Linked DNA regions of Saccharomyces cerevisiae S288C. The main gene of each other region encodes a partner of the protein of the gene in region 2 in a complex. Each region holds a gene or a part of one and is shown on either strand. Other genes may lie near its edges. The genes, in order: SSN3, SSN8 and SRB8. A codon is read from its position in the direction of its gene.

The links.
Region 1: the proteins of SSN8 (region 2) and SSN3 are in contact, whole or in part, in a cryo-EM structure (PDB 7KPV), measured with the Saccharomyces cerevisiae proteins. Residues at the interface, in NP_014373.3 of Saccharomyces cerevisiae: Ser2 (codon at 2,015), Gly3 (codon at 2,018), Ser8 (codon at 2,033), Thr9 (codon at 2,036), Leu31 (codon at 2,102), Arg92 (codon at 2,285), Tyr94 (codon at 2,291), Phe106 (codon at 2,327), Lys109 (codon at 2,336), Ala110 (codon at 2,339), Glu114 (codon at 2,351), Ile115 (codon at 2,354), Asn116 (codon at 2,357), Met119 (codon at 2,366), Leu127 (codon at 2,390), Lys130 (codon at 2,399), Val131 (codon at 2,402), Glu132 (codon at 2,405), Glu133 (codon at 2,408), Cys134 (codon at 2,411), Arg146 (codon at 2,447), Pro150 (codon at 2,459), Glu151 (codon at 2,462), Phe152 (codon at 2,465), Ile153 (codon at 2,468), Pro154 (codon at 2,471), Pro155 (codon at 2,474), Asp156 (codon at 2,477), Lys159 (codon at 2,486), Thr161 (codon at 2,492); in NP_015283.1 of Saccharomyces cerevisiae: Leu48 (codon at 1,878), Met49 (codon at 1,881), Ala50 (codon at 1,884), Asn51 (codon at 1,887), Asn52 (codon at 1,890), Val54 (codon at 1,896), Phe55 (codon at 1,899), Thr56 (codon at 1,902), Ile57 (codon at 1,905), Pro59 (codon at 1,911), Tyr60 (codon at 1,914), Arg61 (codon at 1,917), Arg63 (codon at 1,923), Lys64 (codon at 1,926), Asp65 (codon at 1,929), Tyr197 (codon at 2,325), Gly199 (codon at 2,331), Ile200 (codon at 2,334), Gln202 (codon at 2,340), Cys205 (codon at 2,349), Arg206 (codon at 2,352), Met208 (codon at 2,358), Ala209 (codon at 2,361), Leu210 (codon at 2,364), Arg212 (codon at 2,370), Glu213 (codon at 2,373), Glu224 (codon at 2,406), Ile225 (codon at 2,409), Leu227 (codon at 2,415), Glu228 (codon at 2,418).
Region 3: the proteins of SSN8 (region 2) and SRB8 are in contact, whole or in part, in a cryo-EM structure (PDB 7KPV), measured with the Saccharomyces cerevisiae proteins. Residues at the interface, in NP_014373.3 of Saccharomyces cerevisiae: Ser2 (codon at 2,015), Gly3 (codon at 2,018), Ser4 (codon at 2,021), Phe5 (codon at 2,024), Trp6 (codon at 2,027), Arg11 (codon at 2,042), Tyr79 (codon at 2,246), Met83 (codon at 2,258), Arg87 (codon at 2,270), Arg92 (codon at 2,285), Gln93 (codon at 2,288), Ser183 (codon at 2,558), Leu184 (codon at 2,561), Lys185 (codon at 2,564), Gln186 (codon at 2,567), Ile187 (codon at 2,570), Val190 (codon at 2,579), Pro195 (codon at 2,594), Phe196 (codon at 2,597), Ser202 (codon at 2,615), Leu205 (codon at 2,624), Gln206 (codon at 2,627), Asn207 (codon at 2,630), Trp209 (codon at 2,636), Ser210 (codon at 2,639), Leu211 (codon at 2,642), Asn213 (codon at 2,648), Asp214 (codon at 2,651), Pro225 (codon at 2,684), Pro226 (codon at 2,687); in NP_010004.1 of Saccharomyces cerevisiae: Asp14 (codon at 2,040), Leu16 (codon at 2,046), His17 (codon at 2,049), Pro18 (codon at 2,052), Tyr19 (codon at 2,055), Val20 (codon at 2,058), Pro21 (codon at 2,061), Ser22 (codon at 2,064), Val29 (codon at 2,085), Tyr30 (codon at 2,088), Pro31 (codon at 2,091), Asp32 (codon at 2,094), Phe33 (codon at 2,097), Lys34 (codon at 2,100), Pro35 (codon at 2,103), Tyr55 (codon at 2,163), His56 (codon at 2,166), Pro58 (codon at 2,172), Met59 (codon at 2,175), Val60 (codon at 2,178), Asn61 (codon at 2,181), Phe62 (codon at 2,184), Glu63 (codon at 2,187), Ser64 (codon at 2,190), Ile65 (codon at 2,193), Ser66 (codon at 2,196), Ala67 (codon at 2,199), Arg68 (codon at 2,202), Ser70 (codon at 2,208), Val71 (codon at 2,211).

Annotation. Positions count from the first base shown.
Region 1 is NC_001148.4:472,822-476,443, reverse strand, and holds SSN3 (cyclin-dependent serine/threonine protein kinase SSN3), read left to right. Parts: upstream 1-1,736; coding exon 1,737-3,404; downstream 3,405-3,622. Other genes in the region: isoleucine--tRNA ligase ISM1, read left to right, coding at 1-451; MRX11 (Mrx11p), read left to right, coding at 703-1,326. UniProt on the Saccharomyces cerevisiae protein: Component of the SRB8-11 complex. The SRB8-11 complex is a regulatory module of the Mediator complex which is itself involved in regulation of basal and activated RNA polymerase II-dependent transcription.
Region 2 is NC_001146.8:583,809-587,302, reverse strand, and holds SSN8 (cyclin-dependent protein serine/threonine kinase regulator SSN8), read left to right. Parts: upstream 1-2,011; coding exon 2,012-2,983; downstream 2,984-3,494. Other genes in the region: EFM6 (putative protein-lysine N-methyltransferase), read left to right, coding at 1-196; KSH1 (Ksh1p), read left to right, coding at 483-701. UniProt on the Saccharomyces cerevisiae protein: Component of the SRB8-11 complex. The SRB8-11 complex is a regulatory module of the Mediator complex which is itself involved in regulation of basal and activated RNA polymerase II-dependent transcription.
Region 3 is NC_001135.5:252,371-255,992, forward strand, and holds the start of SRB8 (Srb8p), read left to right. Parts: upstream 1-2,000; coding exon 2,001-3,622. Other genes in the region: deadenylation-dependent mRNA-decapping factor PAT1, read right to left, coding at 1-258; type 2C protein phosphatase PTC6, read left to right, coding at 475-1,803.

The DNA.
Region 1 (3,622 bases), on a different chromosome or scaffold from region 2:
AGGATGGTTACAAGGACAAGAACATATAGACATTAATCCGATGCGTGGAAAATGGCCGTTTTTGGACTCAAATACGGAAATCGTCACCTCCTTTGAAAACTTTGAACTAAAAATTCTAAAACAGTTCCAGGAGGAATTCAAGAGGTTAAGTCTAGAAGAAGGTGTCACCAAAACAACACATAGTCACGTTACCATTTTCACCAAGCATCACCTCCCATTCAGTTCTGACGAGCTTTGCGACATATTGCAATCATCTGCTGTTGATATATTGCAAATGGACGATAATAATAACAGTCTACCAACTATTGAATTGGGAAGCGGAATAAACGTTCAAATATTGGTTGAACGAAGCAAAAGGCACAACTGTCCCAGATGTTGGAAGGCCAACTCAGCCGAAGAGGATAAATTGTGTGACAGATGTAAAGAAGCTGTGGATCATCTCATGTCTTGAATGACATGTACCTTTCCTGTATATAAAGAATGCCAATTATTGGCTCTTAGAAAATAAAAACCCTCTTGTACTTATTAGTGGGTACCTAACAGGTCCCCTACTGACATTTTGATGCAGGGCCTCGGCCTATTGTTCTTACCAGCTCTCAGCGCGTTATACGAACAGGAAGCAAAGAAGAGAAATGTAAAAATATTGCTTTTGAGAGACCGTGTAAGGATAAGTGTTACACCCAAGGCACCCTCACCAGGAACATGACTGTCATGAATCTTTTCTTCAGGCCCTGTCAACTGCAGATGGGCTCTGGACCGTTGGAGCTCATGCTTAAAAGGCCAACGCAATTGACCACGTTTATGAACACCAGGCCCGGCGGATCAACCCAAATTAGATTCATATCGGGAAATTTAGATCCAGTGAAAAGAAGGGAGGATAGACTACGTAAAATATTTTCCAAGTCACGACTTTTAACAAGGTTAAACAAGAATCCTAAATTTTCACACTATTTCGACCGCCTCAGTGAGGCCGGCACGGTTCCAACACTTACATCATTCTTCATCTTGCATGAGGTAACTGCCATACTACCACTGTTTCTACTATGGTGGTTACTTTATAACCTCGATCTTTCTGATGATTTTAAGCTCCCAAACTTCTTAAATGGCCTAATGGATAGCTGTCATACAGCTATGGAGAAATTTGTTGGTAAGAGATATCAGGAATGCCTCAACAAAAACAAGTTGATTTTATCTGGCACAGTAGCCTACGTTACAGTAAAATTACTATATCCGGTACGCATTTTCATTAGTATCTGGGGAGCACCATATTTTGGGAAATGGTTGCTTCTTCCCTTTCAAAAATTAAAGCACCTTATTAAGAAATAAAGCTTTTTTTTCCTTTTTTTTTTCTGGCCCAGAGACGGATTATTGTTTTCAGTTGAAGTTGCGCACTCGGCATATGATTTATAGATTCCCAATATATTGTACTTCGTTATATATGTGTTACGAATATTTTTGATTTCGTTTTAGAGAGTTTTGATTAGAGGAAATTATAGCTTTTTTTAACAGTGAAATAAATATCATACATCAAAAGTCTTCAAGAATTACGTGGTGTGGCTTAAGTTGCGTTTCATTTTCCCGCTTCAATACTTGAAAGTTATCCCACAATCACTGCTGACAAAAAGGATACAAGAAAGGTTTATAGGAAAGAAAAAAGGCGGAAGGGTATACTGAAGTTAGTAATTTTGCTTCCCAATTGAATTAAGGCCGCCTAGTTTTGACGGGAGGAGAGAGAAATGTATAATGGCAAGGATAGAGCACAAAACTCCTATCAGCCAATGTACCAAAGGCCTATGCAGGTACAAGGACAACAGCAAGCTCAATCGTTCGTTGGAAAGAAAAACACAATCGGAAGTGTGCATGGAAAAGCCCCGATGCTAATGGCCAATAATGATGTTTTTACTATTGGACCTTATAGGGCAAGAAAAGATAGAATGCGGGTATCTGTCTTAGAAAAGTACGAAGTTATTGGCTACATTGCTGCGGGCACATATGGTAAAGTTTACAAAGCGAAAAGACAAATCAACTCCGGTACCAATTCCGCTAATGGTTCTAGTCTGAATGGTACCAATGCGAAAATTCCGCAGTTTGACAGCACGCAACCAAAATCAAGCTCTTCAATGGACATGCAGGCAAATACAAACGCATTAAGAAGAAACTTGTTAAAGGATGAAGGAGTGACCCCCGGAAGAATACGAACTACGAGGGAAGATGTATCCCCGCACTATAATTCCCAAAAACAAACCCTCATTAAAAAACCGCTGACGGTATTTTATGCCATTAAAAAGTTCAAGACAGAGAAGGATGGCGTCGAACAATTGCATTATACGGGAATATCTCAGAGTGCCTGTAGAGAAATGGCATTATGTCGAGAATTGCACAACAAGCATTTAACCACATTAGTGGAAATTTTTTTGGAAAGGAAATGTGTCCATATGGTATACGAATATGCGGAGCATGATCTGCTACAAATTATCCACTTCCATTCCCATCCCGAAAAAAGGATGATACCACCAAGAATGGTTCGGTCTATTATGTGGCAGCTTTTAGACGGCGTATCGTATCTTCATCAAAATTGGGTGCTTCATCGAGATTTGAAACCCGCAAATATAATGGTGACCATAGATGGATGTGTTAAAATTGGTGATTTAGGTTTGGCCAGAAAATTTCATAATATGCTGCAAACCCTCTATACTGGGGATAAAGTGGTTGTCACTATATGGTACCGTGCACCTGAGTTGCTATTGGGAGCACGGCACTATACCCCTGCGGTTGATTTATGGTCCGTTGGCTGCATTTTTGCAGAACTGATAGGATTACAGCCCATATTTAAAGGTGAAGAAGCTAAACTAGACTCTAAAAAGACTGTTCCATTTCAAGTGAATCAACTACAGAGAATTTTGGAAGTTCTTGGCACTCCCGATCAAAAAATTTGGCCTTATTTGGAGAAGTATCCAGAATATGATCAAATTACGAAGTTTCCAAAGTATAGGGATAACCTTGCTACATGGTATCATTCCGCGGGAGGAAGGGACAAGCATGCTTTAAGCTTACTTTACCACTTGTTAAATTATGATCCAATTAAAAGAATAGATGCATTTAATGCGTTGGAACATAAGTACTTCACAGAAAGTGATATTCCTGTTAGTGAAAATGTATTTGAAGGTCTAACTTACAAATACCCGGCAAGAAGAATTCACACGAACGATAATGACATCATGAATCTTGGATCAAGAACGAAAAACAATACACAAGCTTCAGGAATCACCGCAGGTGCCGCTGCAAATGCGTTAGGTGGGCTTGGTGTTAACCGTAGAATTCTGGCCGCGGCAGCAGCAGCCGCTGCTGCGGTGTCAGGAAACAATGCATCAGATGAGCCATCTCGAAAGAAAAACAGAAGATAGGCTTCTATTTTTATATATATTTGGAATTTTTCATTCCACAGCACTGTCACTATTATATTCATTAAACTTTTTTTTATCTTTATAGTATTTAAATCGGCATACAGTTTCAATTTTTCGCTTTAGAGGCACTAAGAATGCAAGTCTGCAACATTCAGGTAAAATAATGGGTTGATTTTAGGTCGAGCTAAAACCCTGTTCTCCGCAGATGTATGCGAATT
Region 2 (3,494 bases):
AAAAACACTACTTGATCTCACTCACTGCATAAACCCACCTGTAATCTTGATGGCTTACAAGAAGAGAAGAAAAGCTGATAAACATTTTTTCAACAAGATTAAAAGAAATTTTGACGTTCTTGAAATTACAGATTTTAGTAAATTTGAACATTATCTTAAGGAAAGAACCCACTTGTTTCAGCTTATCAGGAAGTAACCTGACACAGTGAATTTATCTCTTAATGATCCTGATCTTATTATATTTAGTAATGAACTTTTCGATAGACATTTGTAATTCATGAAAAAACGATATAACATTCATTTTTGTAGTGTGGTGTACGCATGGTGGGACTGCTCTTCTTGAGCGAAATTTTGATCTTCAATAGAGTGAGCAACGACAACTCAAGGATAAAGACAGAACAGCGGTAAACATCGTTTGCAAAATAACTAGAGAGCCGGATCGATTTACTTTGCAAAGTTGCGTCCTTTTTCCACGACAGAATATGTCTGCATTATTTAATTTTCGTTCTCTTCTGCAAGTGATATTGTTACTGATTTGTTCATGTTCTTATGTTCATGGGCAGTGGCCGTCTCTCCTAGATCGTTACAAAAATCATGAGGTTTTGGGGGCCTTCTGGAAAATGGCACGTGTTGGTGAAAGGGCCAGTCCATATGTTAGTTTAGCATGTATTTTGATGGCCATCAGTCAATTTAACAGCTGATTGGAAGATACTTAGTCATATGGATTTAAAGTTACGCAAATCAAGGTCATAGAAGGTGCAGTACCTTTTAAAACAAAGAGTATAAGTGGATTCAGACGAAGTGTCTCTTTAATTCTATCGTCTGATAGCGTACAAGTAAGGGTGCTATGAGCTAGCACGCACAGCAAAAATATAAACACTTTTGTATTTTTTTTTATTTTATAGTGTTTTGTGTTGAGTATTCATCTATTCGACCTCTATAGAGATTTAAGAAGGGAATTCATTGTCACAATAAGGACGCATAGTTGTTCATTTTAGACATCATTTACAGCACTTCCGTAAACTACCCCATATTGCGATTGAATACTACCGAAAAGGCTCAAGAATTTACGTGGTGCCCAATCAATTATATAGAATGAGGAACAATGGTAAGTAATGAATAATCATGGTCAGTAATAAAAAAGCAATCTCGTCCATGTTTCTTTTTGAAACTCAGAGCTTGACTCTGTTGCATTGGTATTTCATCATTTGATGAATTATTCACTATTCCATCTTCTTCTTACACAAGTTTACCAATAAATAACTCATCTGAGTTATTCAGACTTTTTATTAGATCAGTTCGGCATATTTAACTATGCAAAAGTTTTACACTGCTAAAAAGTAGTGTAAACAACAAACTGTTAAAAAAATAAAAAGGGGTGAATCCATGGACCAAGAATAGTAAGCTCCATTGGGTTACTCGATCCAGCACGGGAAAGAGCAATCGTCATAACTATGGTTTAGATTCCATACAAACGGAATCCAGTACCGAAGAAAACACCAGTACCCTGCAATAGAGGTACCAGGTCAAGAAGCAGAATACCCAAGGGCATCCTCCTTAATGAGTTGATTTAAACAATTTAAAATTTTTAAATCTCATTACGTTTTCCGCATACGAATTGGTGGGAGACTTTCAACCCAAAGCATATTACTGAGTAAAAAAAATTTTACTCCATTTTGTAAGCTTCGATTTGTGACGATTCTTTGGTCATGGATTGAAGAACTTTAAACGAGAAGAAATTAGAAAACAGGTGAAGACCACTATTTAGTTCTTTACCGCAACATAGGATAAACAAAGTTATTTTCTTACTCCTTTATATATTTGAAAAAATATAAAATCCACGGAAAAACATCGAAAATTCATTTTTCATGAAGGAAAATTAGGGTTCATACAGGAGTAGAGTTCATTGATGTGGTAGCAACCTTGTTAGCACTCATATTGTTCGAACAAAAAATGCCCTCTCAAACTTTAGTTGAAGAGCGATAAGGCATCTGAATCTCAAAAGTTAGACATGTCGGGGAGCTTCTGGACATCTACACAAAGGCATCATTGGCAATATACCAAGGCATCATTGGCTAAAGAGAGGCAGAAGTTATGGCTATTGGAGTGCCAGCTGTTTCCTCAAGGTTTGAATATTGTAATGGATTCGAAGCAAAACGGCATCGAACAATCCATCACAAAGAATATACCAATAACTCACCGAGACTTACACTATGATAAAGATTATAATCTAAGGATCTACTGCTATTTCCTGATAATGAAGCTTGGAAGGAGACTAAATATAAGACAGTATGCACTGGCTACAGCACATATTTATCTATCAAGGTTTTTAATAAAGGCTTCAGTTAGAGAAATAAACCTATATATGCTGGTTACTACGTGTGTATATTTAGCATGCAAAGTTGAAGAATGCCCGCAATATATCAGAACTTTGGTAAGTGAAGCCCGTACCTTATGGCCCGAATTTATTCCTCCTGACCCTACTAAAGTTACTGAGTTTGAGTTCTACTTACTAGAAGAATTGGAAAGTTACTTAATTGTCCACCACCCTTATCAATCCTTAAAGCAAATTGTTCAAGTCTTAAAGCAACCGCCATTTCAAATAACACTATCGTCAGATGATCTACAAAACTGTTGGTCCTTAATCAACGACAGTTATATAAATGATGTTCATTTGCTTTACCCTCCTCATATTATCGCTGTTGCATGTTTATTCATTACGATTTCCATTCATGGGAAACCAACCAAAGGATCATCGTTAGCATCTGCGGCTTCTGAAGCCATCAGAGATCCTAAAAATTCTAGTTCTCCTGTTCAAATAGCTTTTAATCGTTTTATGGCAGAATCTCTTGTAGATCTTGAGGAGGTTATGGATACGATTCAAGAGCAAATTACATTATACGATCATTGGGACAAGTACCACGAACAATGGATAAAGTTTCTGCTACATACTTTGTATCTTAGACCAGCATCTGCAATTTAATCATGCGAAGAATAAATTTAAAAACCGTTAAGCCTGTAAATTCAATCATTATGGTGGTGATGATCCGTTTTGGAAATGTTTCGTCCTTGACTACCTTTGTTTAACATGATATTGGAACGTCAAGACATATTGAGAATAGGTACCGTTATAATGCATAATTAAAAATTGCTTTGATATTGAGGTGGAAAGCTGGGTCGGACCTTGACATGTATTAAATTTAAAGAATCGAACCTAGTGTTTTTTTCTCCAGTGTTCAAAAAATCCTTTCAATTTGGTCTACTGCAGTAGCCCACTTATAACACACATTCAAGATGGGTGAACCGTGGCTCAAACTTCCCCATTTTTCAGAGTATGTGCAACCACAAAACCTTTGTCAGAAATTCTTATGGCAGGCCAAATTGATAAACTAACAGAAATATTAAACGCCCCCCAAGTTAAAATACTAGAACATGTTGGCTTATTTCAAAAACATTTTCTTCCTTTTCTAAAGTGTTTGATAATACTTTTGCAT
Region 3 (3,622 bases), on a different chromosome or scaffold from region 2:
TCCTTCTGCAGTAGCTGCAACATATGATCTAGCCGTGGCACCGACGCCATTACCACCAATTGCGTTGCCGCTGCTGCCGCTGCTGTGAGGATTTCCAAAATCAAAGTCGGTACCAACCTGAACATTATCACCAAATGTTTCGTCGTTCAAATAGTCGTTCTCCTCAAGTTCGTGCTCGCCATAGCCCTTGTAACTCTCTTCAAAGTCCAGAGGACCATCCCGCGCATTACCGCTATTTTCTAACCCAAAGAAGGACATTGCTAGTGCTTCTTGCTGCTCTTACTTCCGGTTAAAACCTTTGCTTCCTTCAAGGTGTACATGTTTCTTTTCATTCACCTTGTTTCTTTCTTTAAAAAGAGGAAGAGGAAAAAAAAAATTTCGTGTAATGCGAGAAGAACAAATAGGGAAGTGATAACAATAGTATCAATAACAGGCTGCAATCGGGGCAATTAAGCATCAGAAGAGGGGAATTTGATGCGGCTGGGGAATGCTTATGCGTATTGCAAGCCGTCGCAAAATGTTGGGCTGAAGCTGGACTTGTTACGGGGTCTTCCAGGGTACGTGGGTCACGCCACGAGTAGGATCAACCGGTTAGAGAACCAGGACAATTACTCCATTAAAATGATGCGGTCGTGGCCTAATGCGTATGGAAGTGCCCTGAACTGCTCTGTATTCGATGGCCATGGGGAGAAAGGTGCGCAACTGTCACAGTTGTTAGCCGATAAATTGTGCAGTAGCCTGGATTTCCCTGAACCCTCCTGGGACAAGCAGGACTTGAAGAAGTTGGTACAGGAATATGCAAGAAGGTTTCCCGAGGGAAATTACTGGAAACATAAGCTGTCCACGTTTGAAAAATTCTACAACAAGTTTATAAAGAACTGCAACTCGAAACAAGAACTGCTGCTGATGAAGGAGGGCGATAGTGCGATCCTTGGACAAAATGGTGGCAGGATGATTTTTGATAAAATGGGGAATATTATTGACAAAATTGCACTGCTCACTGAGCTAGACCGTCTGCGATTGTTCTACGGGTTTGCCAGGTTCGATCTCGACCAATGCTGCGGCCTGGGCACCGCAGCGGGGTCCACAGCGTCGTCCATATTTCTATATCCGTATGATGATCCGAATGCACCCATTGATGAGGGGAAAGACGATGACTCGTGGATCATATCGCACTCTGGATTGCTCAAACTCATTGTCACGCAGGTGGGCGACTCTAAGATCATCCTCTGCGATCAAGACGGGATTGCACACGCATTAACAACAACTCACCACATCAATTCCAGTAGGGAACGACACCGTTTGAGCATAGACCCTTCTCGATTGGACCCAGACGCCTTTGGAGAGACAAGGTTTTTGAATAATTTCGCCAACACTAGATCGTTTGGTGATGTCGCTGGGAAACCGTATGGTATATCTAGTGAGCCGGATATTTTCTCGTTTCTTGTCGGAAATACCTTGCATTTGCCGCGATCTGAAAGGTCGAAGCTGCCCTTCAATGGTGATGAATGCTTCCTGGCGCTTGTCACCGACGGCATCACCAATAAACTTGCAGACCAAGAGGTTGTTGACCTCATCACCTCTACGGTGAACTCCTGGGGACTGAAAAAGGCGACTCCTCAATTTGTTGCAGAGGAGACAATCAAATTTATTCAGGCAATAGCCACTAAACACTCAGACAACGCCACTTGCGTGGTGGTTAGGCTTTCCAATTGGGGCAACTGGCCCAATGTTGACAGAACTGGCCCCCAAAGAGAAACCAAACTAATGAATGCACAATCTAACGAAACAAAATTAAACTAAACACCCCCCTGGGTGGAAACAAGTCCTAGATAATCATCTTTTGTATTTTTTTTCTTCCTTTTATTAGTATGTATACATATATATTACTTTTTATATTCTTTATAGCGCATTTTAAACACCTTTCTGAAAAAATGCTGAGATTTTTGATGCTAATCGAAAGATTAAAAAAAGGTCTATAGAGGTAAGCCAATAACGCGATGAATAACGGTTCTGGTCGATACTTGCTGACTCCCCCAGATGATCTTCACCCCTATGTGCCAAGCTCGAAACCTCAGGAACAAGTATACCCTGATTTCAAGCCTTGGGAGCACACTGCAGCAGAAGATCAAATCCTAGCAAACTTTGTGGCTAAGGGCTTTTACCATACACCAATGGTAAATTTCGAGTCCATATCTGCGAGATCATCTGTTCATGAATCATTAGTCACTCAATCCAACATTCTTTCCCAGCAATTCGACAAAATTATCAAGATTAGAGAAGACCACATTAATAAGATCCCCTCAAATTCCACGACGACATTACACGGGCCTGGTTTTCAGTTGCCTAATAGAATAACCCTTACTGATCATAGAAAGGAAACGTGGTTGCATGAATTGAGTTCGTCTCACACTTCGCTGGTCAAAATTGGCAAGTTTATACCTCACGGCTTGAAAAGAAGGCAAGTCATCGAGCAGTGCTATTTAAAATTTATACCATTGAAAAGGGCGATTTGGTTGATAAAGTGCTGCTATTTTATCGAATGGAAATCGAACCACAAAAAGAAGAGGTCAAATGCTGCTGGGGCAGATGATGCCATTTCCATGCACCTGCTAAAGGACTGGACGGATACCTTTGTATACATCCTGGAAAAGCTCATCTTTGATATGACAAATCACTATAACGATTCTCAACAACTGCGTACGTGGAAGAGGCAGATTTCTTATTTTTTAAAACTTTTGGGGAATTGCTACTCACTAAGATTGATCAATAAGGAAATCTTTCATCATTGGCTTGTAGAGTTTATAAATAAGATGGAAAACTTCGAATTTTTGCCATTATCTTTACATATTTTGATGATTTTTTGGAACGACATCTGCCAAATTGATACAAATGCTCCTGTTGCGGCTACAATAACATCAAGTCAAAAAGAGCCCTTCTTTCTGGTAACAAAAATCACTGATATGCTATTGCACAAATATTATATTGTTTCCAGCAGCAAATCAATGATAAATGACGAGAACTACATCATCAATGATATAAAGAAAAACAACAAGATAAAGTTGAATATTCTCAAAATATTATCCAGTTTAATTTTGAAAATTTTTCAAGAACAATCTTTAGAGGTGTTTATATTTCCCACATCTAACTGGGAAATTTACAAGCCCTTACTTTTTGAAATAGTCTCAAACGCCGACACTAATCAAAATTCTGATATGAAGAAAAAATTAGAGTTAATTAGTTACAGAAACGAGTCATTGAAGAATAATTCTTCTATACGAAACGTAATAATGTCTGCCAGCAACGCAAATGACTTTCAATTAACTATCGTCACCTGTAAACAATTTCCAAAACTATCATGCATTCAATTAAATTGTATAGATACTCAGTTCACCAAGCTACTGGACGATAACCCTACAGAATTCGATTGGCCCACTTACGTTGACCAAAATCCCCTTACAATGCATAAAATTATTCAATTAATTCTCTGGTCCATACATCCATCAAGGCAATTTGATCACTATGAATCTAATCAACTGGTAGCGAAATTATTACTATTGCGAATAAATTCAACAGATGAGGATTTGCACGAATTCCAGATAGAAGATGCCATTTGGTCATT